Oryctolagus cuniculus: one gene and its partners. The protein of the gene in region 2 purifies or fractionates together with the protein of the main gene of each other region. This does not show direct contact. Links are inferred from orthologs where the notes say so. Each region holds a gene or a part of one and is shown on either strand. Other genes may lie near its edges. The genes, in order: SMARCC1, SIN3A, SAP30L, ING2, SAP130, MTA1 and MTA2.

Region 1 (4,098 bases), on a different chromosome or scaffold from region 2:
TACAAAATCATCGGCTTAAAAATTAGCCCGGGGGGGCGGGGCCAGCACTGAGTCTTTGCCTGTGGCGCAGGCTTCCCATATAGGCACCAGTTTGTGTCCCAGCTGCTCTTCTCCTGATCCAGCTCTCTGCTTGTGGCCTGTGAAAGCAGAAGATAACTCAAGTGTTTGGGCCCCCTGTGCCCACGTCAGGGACCCAGAGGAAGCTCCTGGCCCCTGGATCGGCTCAGCTCCAACTGTTGCAGCCATTTGGGGAGCAAAACAGCAGATGGAAAGCCTTTCTGTCTCTCCCTCTTTCAGTCTGTAACTCTACCTCTAAATAAATAAATAAAATCTTAAAAAAAAAAAAAAAAAAAAACACACACCACAAACCTTAGCCTTGGAGCAGTGCTGTGGCAAAGCAGGCAAAGCCGCCACCTGAAGTGCTCGCAGCCCTTATGTGATGCTCCTGGCTTCAGCTCAGCCCAGCTCCAGCCATTTCGGCCATTTGGGTAGTGAATCAACAGATGAAGACCTCTCTCTCTACCTCCCTCTTTAACGCTTTCAAATAAGTACTAAAAAAAAAATTTTTTTTAACTGCTCTGAAAATGCATTACTAAATGCAAAACAAATGTTTAGTTCAAACCCACCAAAACACAAACCAAGCAGAAATACAGTATGCAAAAAAGAATCAAAGAGCCTTCTGACTAGGATTTTTACCACTTCAACATGACTCCCGGAAGCTGAAAGAATTCTGGCTGTCAGGCATAAGAGATATATACAATTCTGAACCTGGATAGGCCCAAGAAATACATTCTGATTCTACAAAGCCCTGAGACATCAAACTTAACTTTGACTTTGTCTTTAAAGCCTCAGGAACAGTGTGTCAACACTGGCCTAGTGGCCTCAACGCTGTGGGTCAAATCCTTCAGTCTGCCTCTTAGCTACTTTCCCAGTCACTCAAACTTCTGAGGTATTACCCAGGCATAAAGCAGCCCTCTTTAAAATGGACCAAAATTAATACACTGATTATTTGGAGAAGTCAAAATAACTATCATTGACTTTTTTTCCACTCTTTTCCTTGATTTTCAAAGGAATATGACTCCTGATAATCTTTTCTTGTTAAATCTTCTTTGACCTTAAGACCCAAAGCACTGGATGAGAAAATTACCAACTTTAAAAAAAATTTAACATTTTTGGAACATATTCAACTCCGTGAGCCACTTCCAGAAGCTATATTCCATATACAAAGTGACCAATTTGTCACTACAACAGAAAGCAATACTGTAGAGAAAAATCTACAGTCCCATATGTAACTTCAAAGGGGGTAAAAAATCAATGCATCCAAAAATGTGACTACTGTCTCTCACTTCCTCAAACTTCAGAGCAGGAACGGTGGTTTCTGAAGAAAGCATCAGTGTGAGCGACCTCAAAGGAACCCAAGATCCCTGCCCTCACCTAACGACTGCTGAAACAGACAGACTCACTGAGCTGCAGACCCCTAACAGATTCCTAGACACCTCGATCTTTTCATTCGTTCAGCAAGTATTTACTGAGTAACTGCTCAGGGGAGGCACCGAGCACCGACCGTGTTCCAGAGCAGGTACAGGCCTGACAGTGCCCTTGCTCCCTGGGGGAGAGCACAAGTCAAAGAGGGTGCTTGGGAAGTTCGAGGCAGAGAGTGGCTGTCTGCTTCATCCACCTTACAAGGCAATCATTCTGGGAATATTTACATGAAGCATAAACTTAAAGGGTTTTCAAAATTCTGAACAAAGGGTTAAGTCACAACTTTGAAAACCTATGATTCAGCAGAATTTAATCCCAAAGGTAGGAGAAACAAGCAAGCACAAATTTCAGGCAGCGGCCAGCACTAGGAATTAAATAAAGGTGACACGAAGTAGGGTGCGCTTGTACATTGCGGGTCCTCAGGGAAGGCCTGGCTGAAGGGCACAGGTGAACACAGCCTCGAACTCGCAGCATGCAGACGGGCACAACCAAAACCCGTCGTTTCTTCACCGGACACGAGTTCTCCTCGGTGCCACTGGTCGTGACGTGAAGCCCGGGACAAGCGTCCACAGGCCTGCGGCAAACCAGCCGCGGGCAGCGAAACCCGGGTCCTCCTCCACTCGGAGGCCACTCTCGGGACGAACCCCGAGGCTGCGCGCCCACGCCGGCTGGGTACTGGGGGGGGGGGGGTCATTGTTCCCACACCTGAGGCGGCCAACAAAAGACACACGCGCCGCCCGGCTGTCGCGCACCGAGGCCCGCAGGAGCTTCCGCCCCGAGCGCTCGGGCTCCCAGGGCCGAGGCCCGGGACCCCCGGCAGCCAAGCGGGAGCCGGAGGGGCGCCCAGGGCGGCCGGCGGGGGCGTGGCAGCCCCGGCGCCGGCCTTTGTTGTCCCTCGTGGCGCGCGGGGGGAGGGGCGGCCCCGGGGCCCGCCAAGCCCGGGACCGCCGCCGGCCCCCGCCGCGCGACCTCCCGGTCCCCAAGGGCGCGCGGACCCACCTTCTTGTAGTGCTTGCCCAGCCAGACGCGCACCGAATCCAGCTGGGACACTGTCTCCGGGCTCTCCCAAAACTTGCTGGCCGGACCGCCGTCCTTCCGTCGATAAACCGCCAGACCCGCGGCCGCCGCCGCACCCCCCGCGCCCGCGGCGCCTGCCGCTGCCCCAGGCCCGCCGCCGCCGCCGCCTGCTGCCGCGGCCATCGTCGCCGTCAGTCGTCCCCACCGCCCGGCACGGCCCGGCCCTCGCAGCGTTCCCCGTTCGCACCCGCGCGCGCGCGCAGCCGCTGCTGCTGCCGCCGCCGCCACCACCACCACCGCCGTCCCTCAGCCCCGCCCAGCCAACCCCTTTCCGGCGCGGAAGCCCGACCCCGCCCCGAGTTGGCCCCGGCGCCGTAACCGTCGCGAGCACGCGCGCGCGCCTGCGCAGTGCCCTGCCGGCGGGCCAGCGCCTCCGCCCGCCTCTTCCGCCGCGCCACGGGGGCTGCCTCTCTACTTCCTGTGGTTCTTGTGTGCGCGCCTCACGCGGTGGACAGCCGCCAGGAGGGTCTGTGCTGGCCGACGGAAGGCGTGGGCTGATAAGTGCCCGGGAGAAGCCCTTGCGGATTGCGGGCCTTGGCGCTTGGGCGCGGTGCGGCTGCGCGCCCGCCCTGCTCGCCCGGACCCTGTACGGCGCGGGGCGGCCTCCGCGCCCCTCGTGGCCCCGGCCACGCGCGCCCCTTCCTGCCTATGGCCTTTGCGCGCTGGGTTGTTCGGCGACCTCCTGGGTCTTGCTTTGTGGTTTCACCCATGAGCCTCGGCCGCTTTCACAGCCTGGAAGTACTTCCGAAGGCCGGCCCCTGAGCCGTGGCTCACACGTTCTGCGAAGCCCTGAACGTGACCCGATGTTTTTATTATTTGTGTGTGTGCGCAGATAGACTGCATGAGAACCTAATCTTGTTCACAGGTGTACCCTTCGCGCTGCGGAAACAGCCTGTTCTTGTTTTGTTTTTAAAATATTTGTAAGGCGGAGTTGAGAGACATTTTCCATCCCCAAATGGCTGCACCGGCCAGGGCTGGGCCAGGAGCCTGAAATTGCATCCGGGTCACTCATCGCTTTCCTAGACGCATCAGCAGGGCACTGGATGGGAAGTGGGACAGTTGGGGCTAGAACAGGTTGCTTGTATGGGATACTGGCGGCTCAACCCACTGAGCCACAACGCCAGCCACTCTGCCTGTTAGCTAACAAATATTTGGGGAATGTATGGCCCGCAGGAATGGAGGTTTTGAGTTTAAGATTGGTTTATGTATTTGAAAGGCAGAGTGACAGGGAAAGACAGAAAAAACTATCTTCCATCTGCTGGTTGTTTATCAAAGTGGCTATAACAAAGTCAGGAGCCTGGAATTCTGTCTTTGTCTCCCACACTGAGGGCAGGGGTCCAACTACTCAGGGCCATCTTCCATTGCCTGGATCACAAGCAGAGCAGTCAGGATGCCAACTGGCCCTCTGATAGGGGATACTGGTGAGGTAGGCCACGGCTTAACCCACTGTGCACAATTCTGGCCCCATATTGAGTTTTTATCCAAGTATGGTTATCCCTAACAGAGCTATGGACATAATGCTATGATCCCAGAGCAGAA
Region 2 (4,172 bases):
GCGGTGCAGGCCGGCGCCCGCTCTACCCTACCGTTTGCCTCATCTGACGCCGGCACAGCGCAGGAGCACACAGGGCTCATCTCCCGGCTCCCCCTCCTCTCCCCTCCGTGGTCTCCCCAAAGCTGCGGCTCCCCACCTGCCCTCTCTGCTTACAGCCCAGCTTCCCACGTGGACCCTGGGGCCGGGGCGGAGGGTGGGGGTGGCGGCTGGCAGCCTGTCCGCTCCATTTCCCACCCCGTTTCGTGGAGAGGCTCAGGCCCAGGTAGGGGAGACAGGAGCTCGTTTAAGCCTCCGACAACGGCCACGCGAAGCGCAGGGCCGAATTCCGCCAGCCCCGAGCTCCTCCGCCTCACCCCGCCGAGGGCCGCTGGCTCCATTTGCCGCCCACCGCCCACTCCAAATAGCCGCCCTCTCCCCTGAGTCTCTCCAACACTGCTCGCCTTTCTTGCTCGCACGCATCCCCTGGCCGTGCCCTGGTCTAGTGTGCCCCGCCTGAACTACCGGCCCACCGCACGGATCCCTCCGAGCCCCGACCAGCCGGTCTCCCTCGCTCACACCAGGCGCATCCGGCCTCTGCTGAACACAGACCTGCGGGGTGGCCCTGCCCCCTGGAAACTCTTTTCGGTTGGCAATGGAGACCAACAGAGCAAGGGCGGCAGGGCAGAGGCAGGGCAGGCGTCGCAGCACTGTAGCCACCAAACCCAGCGCCTCCCTCCCCTCACTGGGCACACCCCAGAGCCCACCGGCTGCTAGGGCGCTAAGCACCCGACCACACCGGCCTGGGCCTGCGACCGGCTTTTGGTCCAGCTAGGAGACGTCCCGCGGCTTGGGGCCACCTCTGCCACCCTGGTTTCCAGCATCGCAGTCCTCACGCTTTCCACCTGTCCCTTCGTGCCCTTTGCCCCTCCGCTTCTGCCCGGGGCAACCCCTAAGACCCACCTGGCTCGCCGCCGCCTCCACGCGGCTCCGCCGGCTTACCTGCAGCCGGCAGGGCTCTCCTGGGAGCGCCCGGGAGTCGGCCAGTCTGTGCGGGAGCACACTCCCGCCTCGCCTCGGCTCCTGCGGCAGCATCTCCACCGCGCCCGCACGCCCCAGGGCTGGGGTGACTCCCTCGCCGGGCTGCACGCAGGGCTTCCCGCCCGCACCCCTCGTCTCCAGGCGCCCAGCACGGCGGGCCGCCGTCCCGGAGCCCCGCCGCCCGGGACCCTCGAGGCGCCGCCGCGACGGCACCGGGGATCCTCCGCTCCGGGCTCGCCTAATTTATTTATTTGCACGGTTCCCGGAGGGAGGGGCGGGGCGAGCGCGGAGGCGGGCCCTCGGCCGTGACGCAGCGCCGCGGAGCCAATGGCCGGCGGGGGGCGTTCCCCATTCAGCACTCCTCGCCCGGCTCGGAAGGTATGTTAAACAGCTGCTTTCAATTCGGTGCCCCCGGCCCGCGTCCGGGGGGCGGCTCGCCGTGGCCGGCCCGACGCAGAGCGGGCGCGCAGGCCCCGGGGCGGCTCGGAGTCCCGCGGCCGAGGTAGGCGAGGGGCCGGCCCGGAGGGAGGGCGCTCGGCGCCGCCCGCCCGCCCGCCACTGTGTCTCCCGGCCGGGCCGAGCCGTGGGGAGGGGGCGCCAGCGCCGGCCGCGCCGCCTAGTGTTGCCGAGCACTCGGTGTCGGTAGGTTTCGGCGGCGGATTGGGGAGCGGCGAGCCGGAGGAGTCTCCGGCTCCGCTCACGCCTTTTTTTTTTTTTTTAAGAAAAACACACGAAAAGCAGCAAAAAAAAAAAAAAAAAAAAAGGTGGGTGGGGGGCCCTGCGCGCCGACCGGACGCGCTCCGGCAGGCGGGGGGCGGCGGCCGGCCCGGAGTTCCCTCCGCGCGGACTTGCCGGGCGGGCCGGGCTCGCGGCTTCCCTGCGCGCGCAAACTTGCACGAGGGGCGCGGGCGCCCCCGGCCCGGGGCCGCCGCCCTCGCCCCCCGCCGCCTCGCCGCCCGGAGCGGCCGTGAAGGTCGGAACCTGGGGAACTGTCTCCACGCTCGCTCGGGAAGAGGAAACGCATCAGCGGGCGGGAGGCGGGGCGCAGGCGCCGGGCGGGGGCGCGGGCCCGGCCGGCCGGCCGGCCGGCCGGCCTCCGGCCGCGGCCCAGACTGTTTACTACCGACTCCGCCGGCGGCTTGTGCAAGCGGCCCGCAGGGGACACGCGGGGCGGGGCGCCGCCTCGCCGCCCGCCGCCCCGGGCTCCTTGCGGGCCCCGCCTGCTCTTGTCTTCCATTGGCTGCTCGGGACTCCCTCTTTCGCTTCTCGGGCACGGATTGGCTGACATTATCTCGAGCTCCGCCTATAGGGAGGCCGGGCAGGAGTTTAAGTTGCTAGGGTTTTTTTTTTTTTTTTTCCGTGAAGGGCGGAGGGGGGGGCGTCCTGCGGCTACGTGAGGCGCGAGGGCCCGCCCCCGCTCCTGATTGGCTGCGCGCGCGGCCCCGCCCCCGGCGGAGCGAGCCGGGAGGGGAAGTCCGCCCTCGGCCGCGAGCGCGCCCCGCACATGTGTGAGGCCGCCGCGCTGCTCGCGTGCCTCCCGCCCGGAAGTCCCGGCTCCGCGCCCCGCGGGGGGAGGGGGTGGCGAAGGCGCGCTGGGCTGCCCGGCATCCCGCGGCCGGCGGCTTCCGGGTGGCGCTGGGGGCTCTGCGGGCGAGGGTCTGTCCGTCGGGCCGGGGCCGCGCTCTGAAGTTCGGGCCCGGCGGCGTGGCTGTTTCCGCGCGAGAGCGCTGCGGACGCCGGCAGCCGCTGCCCTCGGCGGGCCGGGAGGGGACCCCGGCGCGGGGTCGGGGCGCGGCGCGCGGGGCTGGGCCCGAGCTGCGCCCCCGCCGGGGGGTCGGCTCCCCGCAGTTCCCAGCTCGCAGCCGGCACTCACCTGTTGCCGGAGCTCGCTCCGAGGCTGCGGAGGGAGGGCGGTGTTGGGGTCCCCTCTGCGGGCGAGAGCGGGAAGCCCCGAGCCCCGCCCCCCAAGCAAGGCCACCGGCGGGCCCATGCCCTGTGTGCCGGCACCTGGTCTCGGTGCAGCTTAGCCTTCACGGAGCGGACCTAGGGACTGCCAGGAGCCCACGGTGGCCGAGGTGGACGCCGGCCGCGCCGGCCTCACCGCACGGGGAAGCCCCCGCCCAGAGGGGTCTGACCGCACGCGGGACCCCGGCCCAGAAGGTGTCTCTGCACGCGGGACCCCGGCCCAGAGGGGTCTGACCGCACGCGGGACCCCGGCCCAGAGGGGTCTCTGACCGCACGCGGGACCCCGGCCCAGAGGTGGCCTCTGACCGCACGCGGGACCCCGGCCCAGAGGTGGTCTCTGGCCGCACGCGGGACCCCGGCCCAGAGGGGTCTCTACCGCACGCGGGAGTCCGGCCCAGAGGGGTCTCTGACCGCACGCGGGACCCCGGCCCAGAGGTGGTCTCTGGCCGCACGCGGTACCCCGGCCCAGAAGGTGTCTCTGCACGCGGGAGTCCGGCCCAGAGGGGTCTCTGACCGCACGCGGGACCCCGGCCCAGAAGGTGTCTCTGCACGCGGGACCCCGGCCCAGAGGGGTCTGACCGCACGAGGCACCCCCGCCCACTCCGGTCCCTTCCTCGGTTCCTCCGCTGGCTCTGCCCCCGAGGCGGCCAGGGCGGTGGCCGTCGGGCCGCTTTCAGGGCTGCCCGTTCCGGTCGGGTTTGTGGGCGCAGCTCTGCCCCGGCCGCTGCTAGGCGGCGGCGTGCGACCGCCAGGCCGGAGGCTGAGGTTCGCGGTGAGGGGCGCCCGGGCCCCGGCGCTGCCCCCGGAACTCCGAGCTCGTCTCGGTGTCAACATTCCACCAAAGGACGGCGGGGCGGAATCGCCGGGGGCGGGCCCGGCGCGGCTGTGAGGTGGGAGGCGCCTGCGTCCCGCACGGACACTGTGCCCCACAGCGGCTGCCTTCCTGGGGCGCCGAGAGCCGGAGGTAGCCTTCCGAAACGCTGACCGGCGGAGGCGGGAGCCGACCTGCTCGGCCTGTGGCTGAGACGGCGCGGGGCGGGCCGTGCGGTGTCCTCCAATGAGACGAGAAGAGCTCCCCCGCTTCCGCCAATGGTGTTGCGGCTGGGGGGAGGGACTCGGCAATCCGTCTCCAATAGGCGGGGTTGAGTTAGGGAAGCTCCCCGCCAATAGGGGCGTGGAGAGGGTGAGCG
Region 3 (3,109 bases), on a different chromosome or scaffold from region 2:
GCAGAGTTATACAGAAAATGAGAAATAGAGAAGAGACAGATCTTCCATCTGCTGGCTCACTCACCAATTGGCTACAACAGCCAAGGCTGTCCAGGCAGGAGCCAGGAGCTTCTTCCTGGTCTCCTACATGGGTGTAGGAGCCCAAGGACTTGGGCCATTGTCTGTTGCTTTCGGATGCACATTAGCAGGGAGCTGGATCAGAATTGGAGAAGCCAGGACTTGAACCAGTACCCATATATGATGCTGGCATTGCAGGCCACAGCTTAACCTGTTATGCCACAATGCCAGCCCCCTAACACAACTTTTTATAAAATATGTTTCCACCCATGCCAGGGCCTGACAGGTTTGGTAGCAGCTGACTAAGCAGAGCAGTTGGTCTCTTCATGGAATTTAATGATCATGATGGATGATTGGCTGCCACTAAAATAGAACTGTACCTTGGTAGGTTAAAGTTCTACTTCTGGAATTCTGGAAAACAAGTCACCATTGTACATTGTTGCAAGAACTTCTGCAGTAGCTGTAATTTCCACCACAGCACTGCAAGCGAGTCCTTGTCCCCTCTTTTGCACAGTTTTGAATTTGTCACCCTGAATTGTACAGGTTTAAGGGATTTTGGTTTCTCTTCCACATAGACTGTCAGCCGACACTTCAGGAACATACCTGTGAATGAAAAAGAGACCCTCGCCTACTTCATCTACATGGTGAAGAGTAACAAGAGTAGACTGGACCAGAAATCAGAGGGCAGCAAGCAGCTTGAGTGAAGACAAAGCTCATCTTAAAGGAACAAAGCATAATGCCTAATGCACAGGTGATATCTGCTACATTTAAAGACTGTTCAGTTTTACTGTAAATAAAAGTTTGAATGATGATACTGTAAATCTTTTTGGTCAAGAGGATTATATTCTCATGACTCAGCATGTGTATAGACAGACTTTTAAGATAACTACTGGACTGAAACAAACAGGATCATAAAAAGAATTAAAGGAAAACTATGTATTGCAGAATTCAATAAAGTGTTAAGTCTATTCTGCTGAAAAATGTGGGATAAGAAATAGTTTGGTAGTCACCTTGCAATACCAGGCTGCCACCTTTGGGACATAGCCCTGGAATAAGGATAGGGTGTAGCTGATGGACTTGCACACTGACCACTGGGTATGTAGATGGCCTGCTTTGTTGCGGATTTTTTTGTCATTATCAATTTGACATTGGTCTCTTCACTTGCCCTTGTCCACAGGGGGCATTTGATCAGTATTGAGTTGTCTAAGCTGTCAAAGCAGTGCCAGCCCTGTAACATCTGCTTCCTTGCTCTTGTAACAGAGACCTGTGCTACTTTTGTTGTTCAGCACTTAACTGCTAAAGTATGGAGGGACTCCTGATGGAAGGACAAGGAAGTTTGAGATCAAAAGAGTATTTCAGGGCAGTTGCATGCCCCGGTTTGTCAAGGCTTCAGAAACACTGATAAATGTTTCTCACAGGAGACGTGGTACTTTGCACACCCCTCTGTGCTTCACTTTTGGGATGAAGTTATTAAGACTTGAGCCAAGATCCTGGGCAATAAATGCTTTGACAAACTGAGCAATTTTGGTTTGGGGCTAATGTTTTCAGAAGTATTAATCCTCAGTTCATGACCACCAGGAAAGCTGCCAAGGACCATATGACTCCTGCTCAGAAGCTCAGCTGTGGGGTAGAAAGTACGGCTGTCCTTAAGTCCCTGGGCTCTGTCTGGTAGACAGCACATCATGAATTTGAGCAACCAAGGTTAGTGCTATCTGATGCTCATTTTTGTGAGCAATTTGCTTCCCTGTTAGGGAGAAAGATTGCTTAAAATAATTTTTAAAGTATTAATAATGGCCTGATTTTTGTTTTTGTCAGTAAGTCATTCTTCTAGCTAATTTTATCAGAACCAAAGTATCCTGGGAAAACAAAGCTTTATATCCAAAAATATGCTTTTGCAAAATTCTCTCTATGATCATTGTGTTGGGGGTAGAAGGCTGAGAGAAAAAAATTTGGATTCTAGTATCTGACCAATCTTGATACATATGATGACATATGATGGTCAAAGGTGTCATTTTGCTTCTCAGTTTCAATTCTTAGTTGTTTCTTAAGCCTTAAATAATAAAAGGAGTAATGCACAGCCTGGCTGGCAGAGTTTCCATGTCTCATAAATGGCTTAATCTGAGCACCATAGGCAAGAAGTCAAAACAAAACCCCGACTGAGCAGGGTGGCAGTGTCTGAAGATTTCAGTTCTGTGAGCAGAGTACCATGCTCTCTGTGGAATGGGGACAGAGCCACCCCTGTCACTAACATGCAGTGTGTTTCATTGCAGCAACGCTGTCACCAGTGTTCAAAGTGCATGTCTGGCAGATTGCAGCCTTTTTTACATGTGTGTAAATGAATGTACATAGACAATGCTCTGAACTCTGAAGGGATCCTGTTTTGATACACTTGGCTGTGTCTGGCATGTCAAGGTACTCTTGAGTATTCTCATTCAGATCCAGTGTATATTTAGTGATTGTCTCCTTACTTACAGCTGAAGGATATTGATAGAGACATCAAGAAGCCTCATCGGGGGCTGGAGTTTGGCAGATGGAGCCTGCAGGTTAAGGCATCGTTAATGTTCTCTCTGGAAATGTTTCTTTTTGAGGAAGAAAGTATATTTTTCTGATATTTAAACCAAAATTGTGAGTATGTAGTCATGTCACAGCTCCTTTAACAGCAAATCTGTTTTCCCAGTGGAGAGAAACAGCAGTGCATTCTCGTCCAAGAAGATGTGGTATCAGGATTCACATGTTGACATGTGTATGTAAGACTGCTTTTATTCCAAACGGAAGCCTGGGCGACTTGTGACCTTCAGCCAGAGGCTGTGCACACTTGAGTCTCATGTTGTCTTGAAAAGTGCTTTTGGAAACTGGAAGTTGTAGGCATCTTCAACCTTTTAAAAACAGGTCAATTGAGAGAAAAGACAAAGCTATTTGAACTTAACGTTTATTCATGTCCAAAAGTCTGTTCTTTCATGAAACCACTAAACCACTTGCCTTAGCCTCTTCCGCAGTTTCTGACAGCTTCATCTGTGGGCAGAAGACTTCTGCCTATGAGCAACAGCCAGGC
Region 4 (4,274 bases), on a different chromosome or scaffold from region 2:
CATTTACGTTACCCAGAAATTAATCGATGGGAATCCATCATTTCGTGGGCTGGACTGTGGCCTGGGGTCTCACCGTCAGTCCCTGGGCCTCTTTCGGCTTGGCCGGAGGGGAGGACGGAGTGACCATATCGTGCAGCGCCCCTCCCTCCGCCCGCAAGCCCTCGCCCACGTCTAATGCCTGAACGTTCCGACCCCCGAAAAGGTTTTGCTTCGTTCTGAACGGCTGTCTACCGGCCACTTTCGCACCCCTGCCCCCTCAACAGGACTCAACAGGAGGGGAACCCTGGCCAGAGCTTGCCACCCCGGCGCCGGGAGCCCTCCGGGTCACCCCAAGGCAGAGCGAAGCCGCACCGGGTCCCTGCAGGCGACTACGTGGAAGATAGGGAAAACGGCGGCGGTCAGAGGGAGCATCGCCTACCTCCCCGCTGCTGGGGAAGCCCCAGGGCGGCGCCGGGAGGAGGCTCGCTGCCCCCGGGCAGCGCTGAGGCGGCGGCCAGCGAGCCGCGGCGGCTCGGCGGGAACACAGCCGCCGTGCATGCCGGGAGCAGCGCCCCGCTGCACACTGGGTCGGTAGTTCCCGCAGGCCTCACTCCAGGGTGCAACGGAGAGCAGCTGCCGGCGGCTCCTTTTAAGGCTCGCGGGGAGCCGCGCTCGATCCGCCCAACGTGGGGAAGAGTCGATCACCCTGGGCCGAGTGAGCCGGGCCACGGCTCCCCTCTCCCAGTGGGAAGGACGGAAGGAAGAATTCGGCCACCTTTCAGGTCCCATTCAGAGCGCGGGCGGGGACGCGGGTTTGACAGTGCTTCCCCTTTAAGGGGGGGCGGGGCACAGCCTGCCGTTTGGCCGCCCTCCGCACCCTCCCCCCGCGGCCGAGAGTTGACAGACCAATCGCCCGGGCGGCGGACGGAAAGCGGGAGAATGCGAACCCTTCGGTGGGGCGCTAGGGGCGGGCCCCCGGCCTTATTAGGACGGCGTCCTGCGCAGGCGCAGAGGCGGCCGCAGCCGAAGGGGCGGGGGCAGTCCAGTGAGAGACTCTCGGACAGTCGCGGAGGCTGACCGTGGGGGGCGAGGGGTTTGTCAGGGGGATCCGAGCGACGAGGCGGCGTGGGTAGCATCTGGGGACTTTGCGGGGGACAGGAAGTGTCCCCGCCCGGGACCCCGGCGCCAGCTCCGCTGAGGGGGGGGGATCCCCGCGGCTCTCGTCCTGGGGAGGGCGGGGGGAACGGAGGGGGAGCCCTGATCTCGCCCCGCCCCTGGGCTTGTTACCGCGGGGGCGGGGAGTGAGGGCTTCTTTTGGGGGGAGTGGAGGTCGGGGGACTCGGCTGTGCCCTCCGGAGCGGCGGCCGGTGTCCCCGCGGCGCCGGGCAGCCGAGCAGACGAGCCGCGGTGAGCGCGGCTTTTGCATGTGCGGCTGCTGGATGCGGAGGCGGCGGCGGCGGCGGCGGCCAGGAGCAGCAGCAGCGGCGGCGGCAGGATGTTAGGGCAGCAGCAGCAGCAGCAGCAGCAACTGTACTCGTCGGCCGCGCTCCTGACCGGGGAGCGGAGCCGGCTGCTCACCTGCTACGTGCAGGACTACCTCGAGTGTGTGGAGTCGCTGCCACACGACATGCAGAGGAACGTGTCTGTGCTGCGGGAGCTGGACAACAAATATCAAGGTAGGGGCCGCGGGGCTCTCGGGCACGGCCGCCCGGAGCCTGCCCCGGCTGTGCCACTTTGCCTTTCTCCGGTGACAGTCTCCGCGAGTGCAACACGGCGGGGGTCCTGCCGTGTGGGGCGGGGAGGAGGAGCTGGACAGGGGGCTCGAGGCCCTCGCCTTCCCCGCTGCGGGCGGCGAGGACTTCGCCGGGGTCCCCGGAGTGGGGGTGGGGGCCGCGCGTCAGCCCCGGCTGCAGACCCAGCGGCTGCAGCTGTCGTGGAGGGGAATCAGCCATTTTAAGCAGCAAGCATTTGTTCCGGCTCTTGCCGGCCCAGTGCCGCAAGCCCTCTCGCCTGGCCGAGGGAGTGTGCAGCCAGGCGGGGGGCCGCGGCCGGCCGGGCTCCCGCCGGTCTGCGGCGCCCCGCGCTCCCCACCCCCTCCGGCCCCCGGCCCCGAGAGGAGATGCATTGGAACGTGTCGGGGGGAGGGGGCGGGAGAGGGCCGCGAAGGCGGACTCGGGGCAGGTCCCTCCCTCCGCGCTCCGGCTCCTGGCTCGGGAACCGAGCGGTCTGTTCCCCTCTCCCGCCGGGGGGAAAGTTCCGGGCTGCCCAGCGCAGTAGCCTTTGCCCAGCTCCTTCTGCCAAATGGTTAAAAGGGGAGGGGTCTCCCGCTGAGAGGGGAGGAGAGGGGCGTGTGTGGCCGGGAGGGCCCCCGGCCCCTGGGGGCGGGGCCTGCGGCCGTGACGTGGGCGAGGGGCGGGGACGCGAGGCGCTCCGCCGGCCTCGGAAATGGCTAGTGGCTGCAGAGGCTTGGGTGGGACCGGCTGCTCGAGAGCCAGTCTGGCCAGTGGCTCGTTCGTTCGGCCCCAGCAGAGCCAGTGTTGGCGTCTGTGTGACTTTTCTCTTTCGCAGCCGGTCAGTCGGCACGGGGACACAGCTGCTGGCACCGTAGCTGTCCCTGAAGGCTCGCAGGTTCCGGGCCGTGTGTCACTTCCGGGCCCCAGGAGGAAGTGGGTTGGTTGACTGGGCAACCGCCCGGCGTCCCTTCGCCCCTGGGTCGCGACTCCGCCAAGTTTCAGCGACGGGACGAAAACCACCCTTTGTGGTCAGACCCAAGAAGCTAGGACAGGGACTCGACCTTTGTCGCATAGTGTCGTTCGTCGTCCACTCTCCGCCTGCTACGAGCAGGGGAGTGGTTTACTTCGGATCGGGAGTTGAAATGTGTTTGATAACCCGAAGTCGAGGAACAGACCTTGGACACGAACTTCTTGTACCCTTGCTCTGTTTTTCCCAGCACGTCACTAATCCGATGATTTCAAGGAATCCACTTCAAGAGTGACTTCTGTGGCCTGTAGCGTGTAGCGACATTTAAGTCTCTGTTGTTGAATGCATAAATTTGTTCTCTGAATCCATATGATTGATAGGGCCGATCTCTTAGTGGGAATAAAGCTGATACTGATTGTCGCTGTGTGCCAGTTACTGCACCAGATCCAGGACATTATATGAAGTAAAACTGATTTTTACAGATAAAAGTAACTTGTCCAGTTAGTTGAATGGGGGAATTTTTGTCTCCTAAGCCTGTTACTTTAGGTGAATGTCCTTTGTTTCAAACTGTTTAAACCTTTTTATTTTAAGTAAGAGTTGTCCAATGTTATTTTTTCCGATGTGGTGCACATATGTGAGTCGTAACCCAGAAAATTATACGTATGTGCTTAAGAATTGTATATTGAATATTTGTGGTTTTTCAAGTGGTAACTTTGAAGATTGTAAAGCTTGTAGATTTTTATACTTTAAAGGCACAAATTTGCCTTAAACTATTTGAAGTTGGGAAGAAATGCTAGAATTTGTTGATAGAGAAATCTATTTGACCATCTATAATTGTCATAATTAGTTCTGGTAGTATGAGTGATATGGTAGGACTTAAAAGATTGAGAGATTGTCAAAATTCTCAATTCTGTAAAATTGTGATTAACTTCCACATTAATAGAAAAGCAATAGAATTTTCGCTCTGTGCACATAGTTGCTAAACTCAACCTTTATGGTTTTTTACTAACTTTACATACTATTGTGTTCCTGGTTCACTTTCATTTTTTTAATTTGTTTTAAACATTTATTTATTTATTTGAAAGCTACACAGAGAGATCTTCCATCCCCTGATTTATTTTATTTTTTTTTATGCAGAACTATACAGCTTTACAGTTACAAACTTGATAAACTTCATAATTACAGCTTTAGGAACATGGTGATTCTTCCCACCATGCCTACATTCCCACCCCTGGTTTATTTTAAATGGCCGTAACTGCCAGGGCTGGCCCAGGCGGAAGCCTGGAGGCAGGAGTTTGATCTGGGTCTCTCAGGGGGATGGAGGGACCCAAGCACTTGGGAGGTCTTCCTCTGCTTTCCCAGGCACTTTAGCAGGGAGTTGGACGGGAAGTGGAGCAGCCGAGACTCAAACTGGTACTCATGTGAGATGCCGGGGTTGTGCAGGCAGAGGCTGTACCTGCTATGCCACAGTGCTGGCACCCATTTTCATGTTTCTTATTTGCTAGTCCTTAAGTATTTTTTTTGGTTGGCATCTAATACTTAGCGCAATATTTAATGATATAAATTATATAAGCATTCAAGGAAATTTCTCTCCA
Region 5 (3,500 bases), on a different chromosome or scaffold from region 2:
TTGTCTTAACCAGTATCTTGACTGCTAGGCCAAATGCCCACTGCCACAATGATAACTAAGATTAATATTCCATCTGATAAAGTCTTTTAACTACATCAGAAAAACAGCTAATCAATATTCCATTCACAGTGATTTATTCCATTTTCCAAAATGCCTATTCCACTAGTATTGTTTTTTTCAGATTTATTTACTTATTTGAAAGGCAGAATGACAGAGAGACCTTCCATCAAGTGGTTCATCCTTCAAATGGCTGCAACTGCCGGAGCTGAGTCAGGCCAAACCCAGAAGCCTGGAATTCCATCTGGGTCTCCAAGTTGGCAGGGGCTCAAGTACTTGGGTCATCATTTGTTGTCTTCCCAGGCACATTAGCAGGAAGCTAGACTGGAAGCAGAGGAGCTGGGATTTGAACCAGCACTCTGATATGGGATACAGGCATTGCCAAGTGATGCCTTAACCTGCTCTGCCACAATATCCACCCTTGTATCTCTTTTTAAATGCACTGACATCATTAGCTAACATGAGGATAAGATTTCACACTTTACATATAACTCTGAAGATCTAAGATGAATGAGAACACTACTTGTAAGGTGAATCTGCCCCATAAACTAAGAGATTTTTATGGAATGCTTCTCATTATTGAGCAAACATTTATATCTGTTTATATATGTTAGTCTGAATGTTTACAATGTCCCTGACGCTAAGTTCTAAGTGACTCATGTTACAAAGAGGAAATTAAGGCCTACAGAAACTTCTCAAGACCCCAAAGTCAGCAAGCGGCAGAGCCAGATTAAAACCCAGGTTTATTTCCCTACCCTATGCCACTTTTCATACAAAAAAGTTAAAATTACCTGAGGTCTTTCCTTCAGGTTGTGGCTGCTGAGCACCCATCGGAGCAGGCTGAAGACCCTGTGTGCTAAGTGGGGTGGCTGAGTGAATGCCCTGGGTGCCAATTGGTGCAGGCTGGATCCCTGGCGTCCCAATGGGTGCTGGCTGGATGCCCTGCGTGCTGATGGGTGCTGGCTGGATCCCCTGGATATGTCGAGCATGTGACGCATCCACTGTCATCAACTGCATGGGGTTTAGGTGGACTGTAGATGCTACTCCAACACCAGTCTGAGCTGTGATGGCAGAGTTTGGAGCCTGAGCTGAAACTAAAAATGATGCAAAGTGTGATTAAAGGTACTAGTGGCACAATCTGAATGACTTTCAAATGCCCAAAGTTAGCCAAGGATCCTACAGGAAAAGAATATGCAAACTCTGAGACTTCCAGACTGCTTTTCCTGGATTAGCAAAACACTACTTCTAAGTCAGAATGGTGATAGCTAAACATAATTGCACTAAAATTGAAAACACATAACAGTATCTCACAAAACAACAGAAGATTCCTAAGAGTATAGCTCTATCCATTCTACCTGTATACAAGTTTAAGAACTAACAAATATTATTTACATGATAATCCGCAGGGTGGGATAAAACTATGCAACTATTACCAACACTACCTTTTCATATGATCTTTTCAAAGATCATCAACATGGTGATTTAAGCCCTTATACAACCTTCAGATATGTTAGCCTTATCTGAATCTGGAAATCTGAACCTAGAATAATTAATTCCCATACTAGAAATAAGGCCTAATCAATTTGTATCTCATTGCTAGCAAAAAATTAAAATGCAAAGTCATTTTAAAAGTGGGACTTGTTTATACCTGGATACTGTCGGATAGTGGACACCGAACTGGTAATTGGGGTATAGGTGTGTGCTGCCAGTGGATATGCAGAAGGAGGGTAAGTTGGCAAAAAGTACTGGAACTGGACAGGAACAGAAGGTCTAGGGATGGAATAGAAACAGTGTGAAACAAAGTGGTTACTGGTTCTTTGCCTTTAAATGTCCCTCCTCACACCATTCGTAACTGCCCTGAGATTCTCTCAAACCGTGTCTTCAAAACTCTTAGATCAAAGGACAGACTGTAAAAATAAAAAATAAAAAAAAATAAAAAAAAAGTGAATACAGCAAACAACCACATGTCAATAAATCTAAAAACAGATATTTTATGGATGCTTTTTGAAAAGAACATTTACATTTAACAAAACTGACTCACACAAATTCAGTAATGAAAATCTTCCGTGTTCAATTCTACAAATTGTTTTTAATGCCAAATTTTGTCAAATATATATAAAACAGATAATCCCAACCTCCTACAAATTGATTCAGAGACCAAAAAAAGAAGAAACAAAATCTAACTTATTTTTTGAGATGTGGCCTTAGCACTAAAACAGGACACAGTATGAGAAGATAATAAACAAATCTCAATTTTCACTGTACACTGACACAAAAATAACTACACAGAATTACATTAAGGATTATATAGTGGTCAGCGCTGTGGCGCAGTAGGTTAAAGCCCCGGCCTGCAGTGTCAGCATCCCATATGGACACCAGGTAAAGTCCCAGCTGCTCCACTTCTGATCCAGCTCTCTGCTATGGCCTGGGAAAGCAGAAGATGGCCCATGTCCTTGGGCCCCTGTACCCACATGGGAGACCTGGAAGAAGCTCCTGGCTCCTGGCTTCAGATCAGCTCAGCGCTGGCTATTGCGGCCATTTGAGGAGTGAACTAGCGGATAGGAGACATATCTTTCTCTCTCTCTCTCTCTCTGGCTCTACCTTTCTATGTAACTGTCTTTCAAATAAATAAAATAAATATTTTAACAAAAAAATAAGATCATATAAAATTAAATACATCATGACCAAATAAGGTTTGTCAAGACAAGAATGATTCAACATTATAATTTCCATTCATGTTTTAGATGATATTTAAAAAATCAGGGGAACAATCACTTGAAATGTTGCAAAATATATGCACAAAATAATTGATGGCATTTCAATATTTATTCATGATGTAAATGCTTACAAAATAGGAATAAAAACTTCGAAAATGTTATCTACTCAAATCTACAAAGGAATTTCAGACGAATTTCCAGTCACTATCTTTAATTCAATAACATTTAATTGGAAACTCTATCCAGCAAAATAACAGGTATAAAAGATGAAAACACCTTCTTGCCATGCCCCCAACTGTCCTTAATGATATAAACATCTATATTAGAAATCCAAGAGAATCTATAAAACTTCAGAGTAACAGGAGTATTTGGCAAAGGGGGATCAGCATAATACTAATATATTAAAACCTGTAAATATTCCTACACACAATAATAAAAATGATATTTAAAAATCATCTGGGGAACTTTCCAGAACACTGAGGTGGGGAATAGTGCTGCCTGCTCAGGTTGCACAAGTACATGCTCCTTCCTTCGCTTCACACTGGCTCTACCTGGCTCACTGGCTGAAGAAAATGGTTTAAAAAATCACTTACTATGATGTTTTGGGGGTTCAAACCCATTATCACTCAGGAAGAACTGAAAAAAGTTAAAAGTTGGTCTTAAAAATACCACCTTTGATAGAATGACAAATGCCCTAAACAACACTCTGGCCTCAGAATCAGCCCT
Region 6 (3,500 bases), on a different chromosome or scaffold from region 2:
CTCGTCCCTCTGGTCTCCAGCTCCCTCCTCCAGCACTTCCGCCTCCTGTTTCTGTGCACGTGGCCGGGACCTGGCTCTCGTGGGCTGGCTGCTTGCGGTGTGTTGGCTGTGCAGCAGGGCTGGGATGCTGCACCATGGCCCAGAGTGGCCGGTGAAGGGTTCCCTCAAGTCCCTGTGCACAGGGCCCGCCCTCGCCAGCCTGGGGACCCCGGCCCCAGCCCCGTCCCCGGCAGCATCCTTGCCTGCTGGGCTCACTGCTTGGTCTCTTCCTGAGCTGCAGGCCTGGTGCAGAGCCTGGGCAGCCACGTCCACCGTGAAACCCACGCCAGCTCCCACCTGGGGAGAACTGCGTGGCGACGCCCTGACCCGAGGGCCTGGGCTCGGCTGCTTGCGTGCTGGTCAGGAGGGTGCTGGGGCTCCCCAGAGACCGTGGAGCAGCCACCCCCAGGACCCCTTCCTGACCACAGAAGGCCTGAGCCTGAGCCGCAGCCACGAGGGAGGGGCCTCCTGCCTCTCTGCAGCCCCACCGCCTCCTGAACCTCATGGGCCGCTAGTCCAAGGGGCATTGGCCTGGCTGGCAGGAACGAGGCTTCTAGAACCTTCCACAGCTCCTTGAGCCACATCCTGTTGAAGGGATGCAAAACCGTGCTTGTGCCTGGCCAGCGGCGAGGGCTGGGCTGTGCTGCTGCCGCCCTGCAGGGTCGGCCTGAGGCCCTGGGAGTCCTGGCGCCAACAGAGGTCTCAGTGGGCAGAGGAAGGAGATGCACCCATGATGCTGGACACGGGCCACGCTTCTGCGCGGACAGAAAGCCCCAGTTCCTCCCCCTGCAGCCCTTACGGTCAGCCCCCCGGGCCCACTGGGCCCACATGGACCCTTCCGTGGCCAAGCCTGCTCAGCCTTCAGGGGCTGCTGCCCTGTGAGAAGGGTCAGATTTTTTTTTTTTTTTTGACGGCAGAGTGGACAATGAGAGAGAGACAGAGTAAAGGTCTTCCTTTTGCCGTTGCTTCACCCTCCACTGGCCGCTGCGGCTGGTGCGCTGTGGCCGGCATATCGCGCTGATCCGAAGCCAGGAGCCAGGTGCTTCCTCCTGGTCTCCCATGCGGGTGCAGGGCCCAAGGACTTGGGCCATCCTCCACTGTACTCCCGGGCCACAGCAGAGAGCTGGACAGGAAGAGGAGCAGCTGAGATTTGAACCGGCGCCCATATGGGATGCTGGCACTGCAGGCGGCGGCCCCACCCACTGTGCCACAGCCCTGGCCCTCTGGTTTTGTTCTTTGGAAGTAAAAGGTTGTTTCATCAGAACCCTCCCGAGAGCTCCCAGAGGACAGACCAGCCCTGGTTGTGTGTAGGTTAGCGGTGCTGGAGCTGGGCTCTGCCTGTTACCACACTGGGGTGCTAGGTGAAGGCACCAGGGGGCTGTGATGGCACAGCCGAGTGCGTCTGGATCAAAGTGAGGGCTGGGAGCTTCTGCTGCCTCTCTGGTCACACTCTGGAGCCACCAGCACCGGGGTCCGCGTCCCTGGTGGGCTCTCCCTTGGGCCCATGTGGGTCTCTGTCCTCTCACTGTGCCTGCAGCCCCAGGGTGCTGTCTGCAGATGTCGGAAGCCACAGCCCGAGTGCCTGTGTGCTGGCCACCCCGCATCGTCTGTGCTGTGGGACCCCAGGGAGCAGGCAGGCCCGTGGCTCGGACCTTGGCCCTCTGTGGTTTCCGCAAGTGCACGCTTCCCTGTAGGTGAGGAGGACGGCCGTGACCAGTCCAAGCTGGAGACCAAGGTGTGGGAGGCCCACAACCCACTCATAGACAAGCAAATCGACCAGTTCCTGGTGGTAGCCCGGTGAGTTCTGGGTACTGGAGAAGGGACCTGGGGTCCTTGGTGTCGGGGAGACCGTGTGGCCTTGGCTCTGAGGTCGCGGCGAGGCCCACAGCCTTGCCTCTGGGCCCTCACCTGGCATCCCCAGGAGGCTCAGCTGACCCAGCCCACCTGGCCTTTTGGGTGCTCCGCTGGGAGGGGCTGGGCTGTGCAGCCGGCCACATGGCACACAGGCCGTGGCAGCCACTCCCCAAGTGTCCTGGTGGCTCCGCAGATGCTGTGGCCACTGTAGTCTGTAGACTCCATGGCAGCCATGCCCTGGGAGTGGCGGGCGCTGCCCCGCTCCTAGGGCTCTGAGGGTCAGCCTGTCTCCGTCCCCCAGCTCGGTGGGCACCTTCGCACGTGCCCTGGACTGCAGCAGCTCCGTGCGACAGCCCAGCCTGCACATGAGTGCCGCCGCCGCCTCCCGAGACATCACCTTGGTGAGTGTCCAGCACCTGCCCAGGCGTGCAGGACCTGGGGAGGACCCAGCTTCGGTCAGTGTGTGTGGAGGCTGTGGCCAGGGGCCCTCTCCAGGAGGTACCGAGGGCGTGGGGCCACGATGCAGGTTCAGGTAAAAGACCCCGGGCCCCTCGCCCCTGCTGTGTCGCCACAGTTCCACGCCATGGACACACTGCACAAGAACATCTACGACATTTCCAAGGCCATCTCGGCCCTCGTGCCGCAGGGCGGGCCCGTTCTGTGCAGGGATGAGATGGAGGAGTGGTCGGCGTCGGAGGCCAACCTCTTCGAGGAGGCCCTGGAGAAGTACGGGAAGGACTTCACGGACATCCAGCAGGACTTCGTGAGTGCCCCGGGCGGTGGGCGGCTGCTGGGCCTTGGGCAGGGGCCCTGGCCTGGCCGTGTCAGTGTTGGCAGCGGGGCTTGGGTGGGGGTCTCGGAGGGGACGGGGGGGCCGCAGCGGGGCTGCCCCCGTGATGCACTGTCCTCTTGCCCAGCTGCCATGGAAGTCGCTGACTAGCATCATCGAGTACTACTACATGTGGAAGACCACCGACAGATACGTGCAGCAGGTGGGCCCGCGTCCCCCGGCAGCTTTGCGCCCCGTGAACTTGCTGCGTGCTGTAGAGCCCCTGGGTGCCCCGGCAGCCCTGGCTGAACGTTCCGTGCCAGGGCTTTGCGTCTCTGGGGTCCCAAAGTCTTCCCCAAGAGAGCCAGCTCCCAGGGCCCCTGCCTCGCTGTCCGGTGTCTGCGCTGCAGCCCCCGTCCAGCCTGTGACCTCTCTGCCCCTCTTTTGCTTTAAGAAACGTTTGAAAGCTGCTGAAGCAGAGAGCAAGCTGAAGCAAGTCTACATCCCCAACTAGTGAGTGCTGCCTGGGGCCTGGGGCCGCGGGGCCGCCTTCCCTCAGCGCAGGGGACCCTGGCCTGGGTCTGGGGGGCGGGGGCCACATCCCAGAAGCCCCTGGCAAGTCAGCCCTCCCAGTTAGTGGGGTGGCCAGTGTGGGGAGGCTGGGGCCCTGGGTTTGGCCACTGAGCTTGCCTTGGTGCTGGGCCCATGAGAGCCTGGGGAGCCGTCCTCAGCGGCTGGGGGCATCCTCAGTCCGGATCCTGTGACTTTTCCCCTTGCCTCCCTCTTAAGCAACAAGCCAAGTCCAAACCAGATCAGCGTGAACAACGTCAAGGCCAGC
Region 7 (4,203 bases), on a different chromosome or scaffold from region 2:
AAAAAAAAAATGTCACACAGGTTGTGTTTACCAGTTCCTCTTTTCAGATTTCAGGAGACTCTGCTCTCAAACATCACATGCAACCCTAACTATCCCTCACTTTCTACTTGGCTAATAATAGTTTGTGGGGCTTTCAAGGACAACACCTCTCAAGCCAGTGCCAACACCTCCCTCAAGGAGCTGCAGCCTGCCTTGAAACCTTGGTGAAAAGGGTTAACCTGGCCGGGCGCCAGTCAAAGTGGGAGGGTGCAGGAGAGCCTCAGGCTCAGGCTCATTGGTGCATTGTTCCCCGACCTCGGGGAGGGGGGGATGGGGAGGGGTGCAATATGCTCCACCCCTTGCCTGTGTGCTCCGGAAACCCTGTGCTAAGGCAAAGGGGACCACACCCCCCACACCCTTTCTGATTGGACAAGGCCAAGGTCAGCCCCTGCCAGAGGAGGCTGGAAACCCCAAAGGCCCAGGGAACTTCGTAAGCCCGCCCGGCTCTCCTCATTAACCCCTTCAAGCCCAGTGCAGCCTTTAAAAAGGAAAATAACTTAGACAAGAGGAAGAGGAAAGAAAACCAAAGCAGGAAAGGAAAAAGAAGCCAAGGAAAAAATGAAGGCAATACATTTTCCAAAAGAAAATGAGAGCTTAAAAGGAAGGAAGATAAGGCAAAAGGAAAAAGGAAAGAAGTAAAATGGAGTAGAGGGGACATGGAAGAGGTGAGAAACAAGAAAAAGTGCAAGAACACTTTCCTGCCATATCCTAACTTCCATTCTCTCCCTTCACCGCGTTCGCACCACCTCGTGATTATAAAGTAAGCCTGCTTCCCTGCTGCACAGGCTTCTCAGTACAATCTCTTCCTTCTCACCTTGACCCTCAGACACCCCTCATTGTCTCAGTGTACTCAAAACTCTACCCCCCCAAAGTGTCCTGCTTCTCTTCCTTACCTCCTATGTAAACACTATCATTTCTGTCTCTCTCTCACACACACACACACACATACACCATAGTCTGGCTTTCCTTATCATGGTCTCTCCACCCTGCTTCCAACCCCAACGTGTAAAAACAGGCCTCCCTCCACAAACCAGGCACTTCCCACCCCCAAAACTCACACCCCTGCTTTGGGCATGCTACCAGGGGAAACACCTGCAGGGACATGCCCAGATGGCAGGAGGAGGGGATGAAGACACTCACTGGCATTACTATCGGCCAGGCTGTTGAGGCTACTAGAAATGTCCCTTCGCCGGAAAAGACAGACAACCTTTGCCTCCACATTTCCATTTGCAGTCTAAGAGAGGGGAAAAAAACGTAGCAGTGAAAATTGGTTATCTGAAAGTGGAAATGCACAGAGCCTAACAACATGGAATAAATTTCTAAGGGACCTAAGTAAAAGAGCTCAAGAAATTATAAGGATTTAATTCAAGGACAGACTTCCAAACCCCTTTCCTTTGCACCCGAGAGACAGATGAGGAAGACTCCCACTAAGCTCTCAATAGCCTGTCCTGTATGCACCCAATGAATGAATGAATATGAATGAGCACTCAGGTTAGTGGCCTCTCTTCCACCCGAACTTAGAGACCTCAAAGGAGCCCACTTGGGGGATGGGGAGGGGGGTCTATTCCACTCACCTTGTTGAGCTCCTCAATCCGTCTAACCAGGTAAGGATTGCTGGAGGAGTTCTCAAAATAGACGTAATCTGTAGGAGGGGGTGGGGAAGAACGGGAAGATGGGACAGCCAGTCAGGGTAGGAGGAGAGAAAACCGCCCGCGTCGACCAAAAGTGGGTAAGGGTCCAGGCAGGGGAGGCTCGAGTGTGGACAGGGGCAGACTAAGATGCCTCCACCTTGCCGCATCGGATTCTAAATCACACCCTTCGCTCAAAAGTGAGCCTTCAGGAAAAGACAGGCAGCAGTTTCCCCCAACTCAGCGATGGAGTTGCACTCCAGCCCCGGCGAAGTGAACAATTGTTCGCTCCAGCACCCGGCCCCCGCCTTGGCGGAGCGAGGCGCACAATAACGCCCAGGGAGAAGAAACCTCAGGCTGCTCCCCGCAGGTAGCACAGCCGTCGCCGCGGGCCCCCCGCCCCCGGGGCCCCGTCCCTATCCTGTCAGCTCCTTCGGAACCAGTTTCTCAAGCCCACTCCCCGCCCCAGGGGCCCGCGGTGCCGCACTCCGAGTGCCGTCGGGGCTGCCCGCAGCCTCTCCCGACCCCCGGAGCCCGGCCGCGTCGCGGTCCCCGCACCCTCGCTCCCCGGGCTCCCGGTTCCGGTTCCGGTCCGAGCTCCGGTCCACGCCGCCCCAGACGCGGCTCCCTGCGCCGCCGAGTGCCCGGCCCCCCCTGCCCCGGGCCCCGCGCCCCTGCGCCCGGTACTCACCCCCCACCCGGTACATGTTGGCCGCCATGGCCGTTCCCGCCGCCGCCTCCGGCCGCACAAAGGGGTCCGGGAAGCTCGCGGGGGCAGGGCTCGGCTCGAGGCGAAGCCCCGAGAGCCGGGCCGGCGCTCTGGGAGAGTCTTCCTGGGGTCCGCGCAGCCGGCGCCTCCGCTGCCTCAGCCGTCGCGGTTCATCCCGGCCCGCGCTGTCGCCGCCGCTGCTGCCGCCTCAAGCCCGGGACGCCGAGGCCGGCGCCGGTCCGCTCGGCTTCTTCCGGAACGAACTCGGCTCCTGCCGGACCGGAGCCAGGCTCCGGCTAGCCGCCCCCCCACCCCCACCCCCGACCTCGACCGGTCCCACCAGACGTTGAGCTCCGCGGGCCCAGGGGAGGCTAGCCCTGCCCGCCTCGGGATTCGCCTTCTTCCGGAACACCTTCGGCTGATCGGAGAACAAGGCCCGGCGCTCGGCTCAGGTCGGAGAGCAAGACCCCACAGATCGGCTACTTCCGGAATGAGCTCGAGTGGCTTCGGCCAACCGCGGCCCGTCCCTCGGTTATTTCCGTTGCAGCTCGGGACCGCCCCCTCCCCGAGGGCGGGGGAGGAGGCGGGCTTAACCCTTCCCTCGCAGGAGTCTGCGGCTCCGCCTGACGTCCCGCAAGGCGCGCGCGCCCTCGCGCTTCGCCGGGCGGTCTGCAAACAGCTTTGCCTACCATTTGCATGAACGGCCTACGGGCGCTTTCCACACTCCTCTTCGCCTCCATCCCACCCCTCGGGGTCCCTAGGGCACCCAGCTGCGCCCCACAAAAGCACAGGGAGGCGACTCTGGTTTTGGTTTATTGCCCCTCAGCAGGCAGCAGGAGTCAGGACCCAGGCTGGGGCGGCCCGGCTCGGCCAGCGGGTCCCTACAGTGTGTGCAGGGGCGATCGCCCCCCGGGGAGATGCGCACTTGGGAATGTCTCGAAGTCGAGGAAAAGGGGCCGGCCAGTCGGTCCGGTCCGGCAGCGATCAGACGTCCAGAGAGGAGGCGGGGGACAGGGACGGGGTCCGGGAGGGCGTGGCGGCCGCCGGCCCCGCGCCCCCAGCGCCCAGCACGCGCCACTGGAAGATGCTGGCGTCCTTGCCGCCTAGTGAGACGAGGTACGAGTCGTCGTGCGTGAACCGGACGCTGGTCACGTGGCTGCCGTGGCCCCCGTACACGCGGCTCGGCGCCTGGCGGGGAGGGGAGGGTGAGCGGCAGCGCCGTCCGGGCCCGCCCTGGCCCGCGCCCCCGGCGCCCCGGGCAGCCTCACCTTGGCGCGCGCGCACGGGTACTGGAAGAGGTGCACTTTGCAGAAGTCATCGGCCACAGCCACCACGCGCTCGTCGTGGGAGCGGCACAGCGAGTTGATGTCGGTCCCGTCGGAGCCGTCCGGCCACACGCCTAGCACAGCGACGGCCTCAGCCCGGCCCCCTGCCCGCCACCACCCGCGGCCCAGCGTAGCCCCATCTCTGGCACTCGCTGCCACCAACAACCGGCCGCCTTCCAGGCAGTCCTTCCTGGTCCCGAGGGCGAAGGGGTAGGGGGCCCGTGGGCTGGGTCCTCCGCAGGTTCTCCGAACACCCGCCCGGCGTGCCGAGCCCACAGCGGGCTCCACCTCGTCCCGCTCGGGCCCCCCACCCCTGCTCACCGTACACGTGGAAGCCCAGCACGCAAGTGTAGGTGGCCCATTCCCTGTCTCGGCTCTCATAGCGATTCCTCAGCAGCTTGCAGCCTCCAGCCACGTCCCCTGGGGAGACAGCCGGCCCAGCTCAGCCCACCCTGCCCGCAGCTGGAAACATGCCCGAGAAGGCCAGGATGGTCAGACTGGT

The links.
Region 1: the proteins of SIN3A (region 2) and SMARCC1 purify together in Homo sapiens (affinity purification with western blotting; 3 studies listed by BioGRID, with this or other methods). This does not show direct contact. The link is inferred for Oryctolagus cuniculus from reciprocal best matches to the Homo sapiens genes SIN3A and SMARCC1.
Region 3: the proteins of SIN3A (region 2) and SAP30L purify together in Homo sapiens (affinity purification with western blotting; 4 studies listed by BioGRID and IntAct, with this or other methods). This does not show direct contact. The link is inferred for Oryctolagus cuniculus from reciprocal best matches to the Homo sapiens genes SIN3A and SAP30L.
Region 4: the proteins of SIN3A (region 2) and ING2 purify together in Homo sapiens (affinity purification with mass spectrometry; 5 studies listed by BioGRID and IntAct, counting the BioPlex papers as one, with this or other methods). This does not show direct contact. The link is inferred for Oryctolagus cuniculus from reciprocal best matches to the Homo sapiens genes SIN3A and ING2.
Region 5: the proteins of SIN3A (region 2) and SAP130 purify together in Homo sapiens (affinity purification with mass spectrometry; 4 studies listed by BioGRID, with this or other methods). This does not show direct contact. The link is inferred for Oryctolagus cuniculus from reciprocal best matches to the Homo sapiens genes SIN3A and SAP130.
Region 6: the proteins of SIN3A (region 2) and MTA1 purify together in Homo sapiens (affinity purification with mass spectrometry; 3 studies listed by BioGRID, with this or other methods). This does not show direct contact. The link is inferred for Oryctolagus cuniculus from reciprocal best matches to the Homo sapiens genes SIN3A and MTA1.
Region 7: the proteins of SIN3A (region 2) and MTA2 purify together in Homo sapiens (affinity purification with mass spectrometry; 4 studies listed by BioGRID, with this or other methods). This does not show direct contact. The link is inferred for Oryctolagus cuniculus from reciprocal best matches to the Homo sapiens genes SIN3A and MTA2.

The regions. Positions count from the first base shown.
Region 1 is NC_091441.1:101,097,202-101,101,299, reverse strand, and holds the start of SMARCC1 (SWI/SNF complex subunit SMARCC1), read right to left. Parts: upstream 2,801-4,098; 5' UTR 2,683-2,800; coding exon 2,482-2,682; intron 1-2,481. UniProt on the Homo sapiens protein: Involved in transcriptional activation and repression of select genes by chromatin remodeling (alteration of DNA-nucleosome topology).
Region 2 is NC_091443.1:108,521,551-108,525,722, forward strand, and holds the start of SIN3A (paired amphipathic helix protein Sin3a), read left to right. Parts: upstream 1-1,372; 5' UTR 1,373-1,395; intron 1,396-1,494; exon of another isoform or gene 1,495-1,519; intron 1,520-4,172. UniProt on the Homo sapiens protein: Acts as a transcriptional repressor. Corepressor for REST. Interacts with MXI1 to repress MYC responsive genes and antagonize MYC oncogenic activities. Also interacts with MXD1-MAX heterodimers to repress transcription by tethering SIN3A to DNA.
Region 3 is NC_091437.1:41,406,334-41,409,442, forward strand, and holds part of SAP30L (histone deacetylase complex subunit SAP30L), read left to right. Parts: intron 1-632; coding exon 633-761; 3' UTR 762-808; exon of another isoform or gene 809-2,531; 3' UTR 2,532-3,109.
Region 4 is NC_091433.1:65,334,884-65,339,157, forward strand, and holds the start of ING2 (inhibitor of growth protein 2), read left to right. Parts: upstream 1-1,474; coding exon 1,475-1,655; intron 1,656-2,398; exon of another isoform or gene 2,399-3,188; coding exon of another isoform or gene 3,189-3,225; intron 3,226-4,274. UniProt on the Homo sapiens protein: Seems to be involved in p53/TP53 activation and p53/TP53-dependent apoptotic pathways, probably by enhancing acetylation of p53/TP53. Component of a mSin3A-like corepressor complex, which is probably involved in deacetylation of nucleosomal histones.
Region 5 is NC_091434.1:118,436,528-118,440,027, forward strand, and holds part of SAP130 (histone deacetylase complex subunit SAP130), read right to left. Parts: intron 1,828-3,500; coding exon 1,706-1,827; intron 1,152-1,705; coding exon 849-1,151; intron 1-848. UniProt on the Homo sapiens protein: Acts as a transcriptional repressor. May function in the assembly and/or enzymatic activity of the mSin3A corepressor complex or in mediating interactions between the complex and other regulatory complexes.
Region 6 is NC_091451.1:47,293,007-47,296,506, forward strand, and holds part of MTA1 (metastasis-associated protein MTA1), read left to right. Parts: intron 1-1,733; coding exon 1,734-1,836; intron 1,837-2,194; coding exon 2,195-2,294; intron 2,295-2,467; coding exon 2,468-2,656; intron 2,657-2,810; coding exon 2,811-2,885; intron 2,886-3,116; coding exon 3,117-3,175; intron 3,176-3,451; coding exon 3,452-3,500. UniProt on the Homo sapiens protein: Transcriptional coregulator which can act as both a transcriptional corepressor and coactivator. Acts as a component of the histone deacetylase NuRD complex which participates in the remodeling of chromatin.
Region 7 is NC_091432.1:8,952,997-8,957,199, reverse strand, and holds the start of MTA2 (metastasis-associated protein MTA2), read right to left. Parts: upstream 2,801-4,203; 5' UTR 2,387-2,800; coding exon 2,359-2,386; intron 1,682-2,358; coding exon 1,614-1,681; intron 1,274-1,613; coding exon 1,180-1,273; intron 1-1,179. Other genes in the region: EML3 (echinoderm microtubule-associated protein-like 3), read right to left, coding at 3,134-3,564, 3,645-3,665, 4,023-4,121. UniProt on the Homo sapiens protein: May function as a transcriptional coregulator. Acts as a component of the histone deacetylase NuRD complex which participates in the remodeling of chromatin.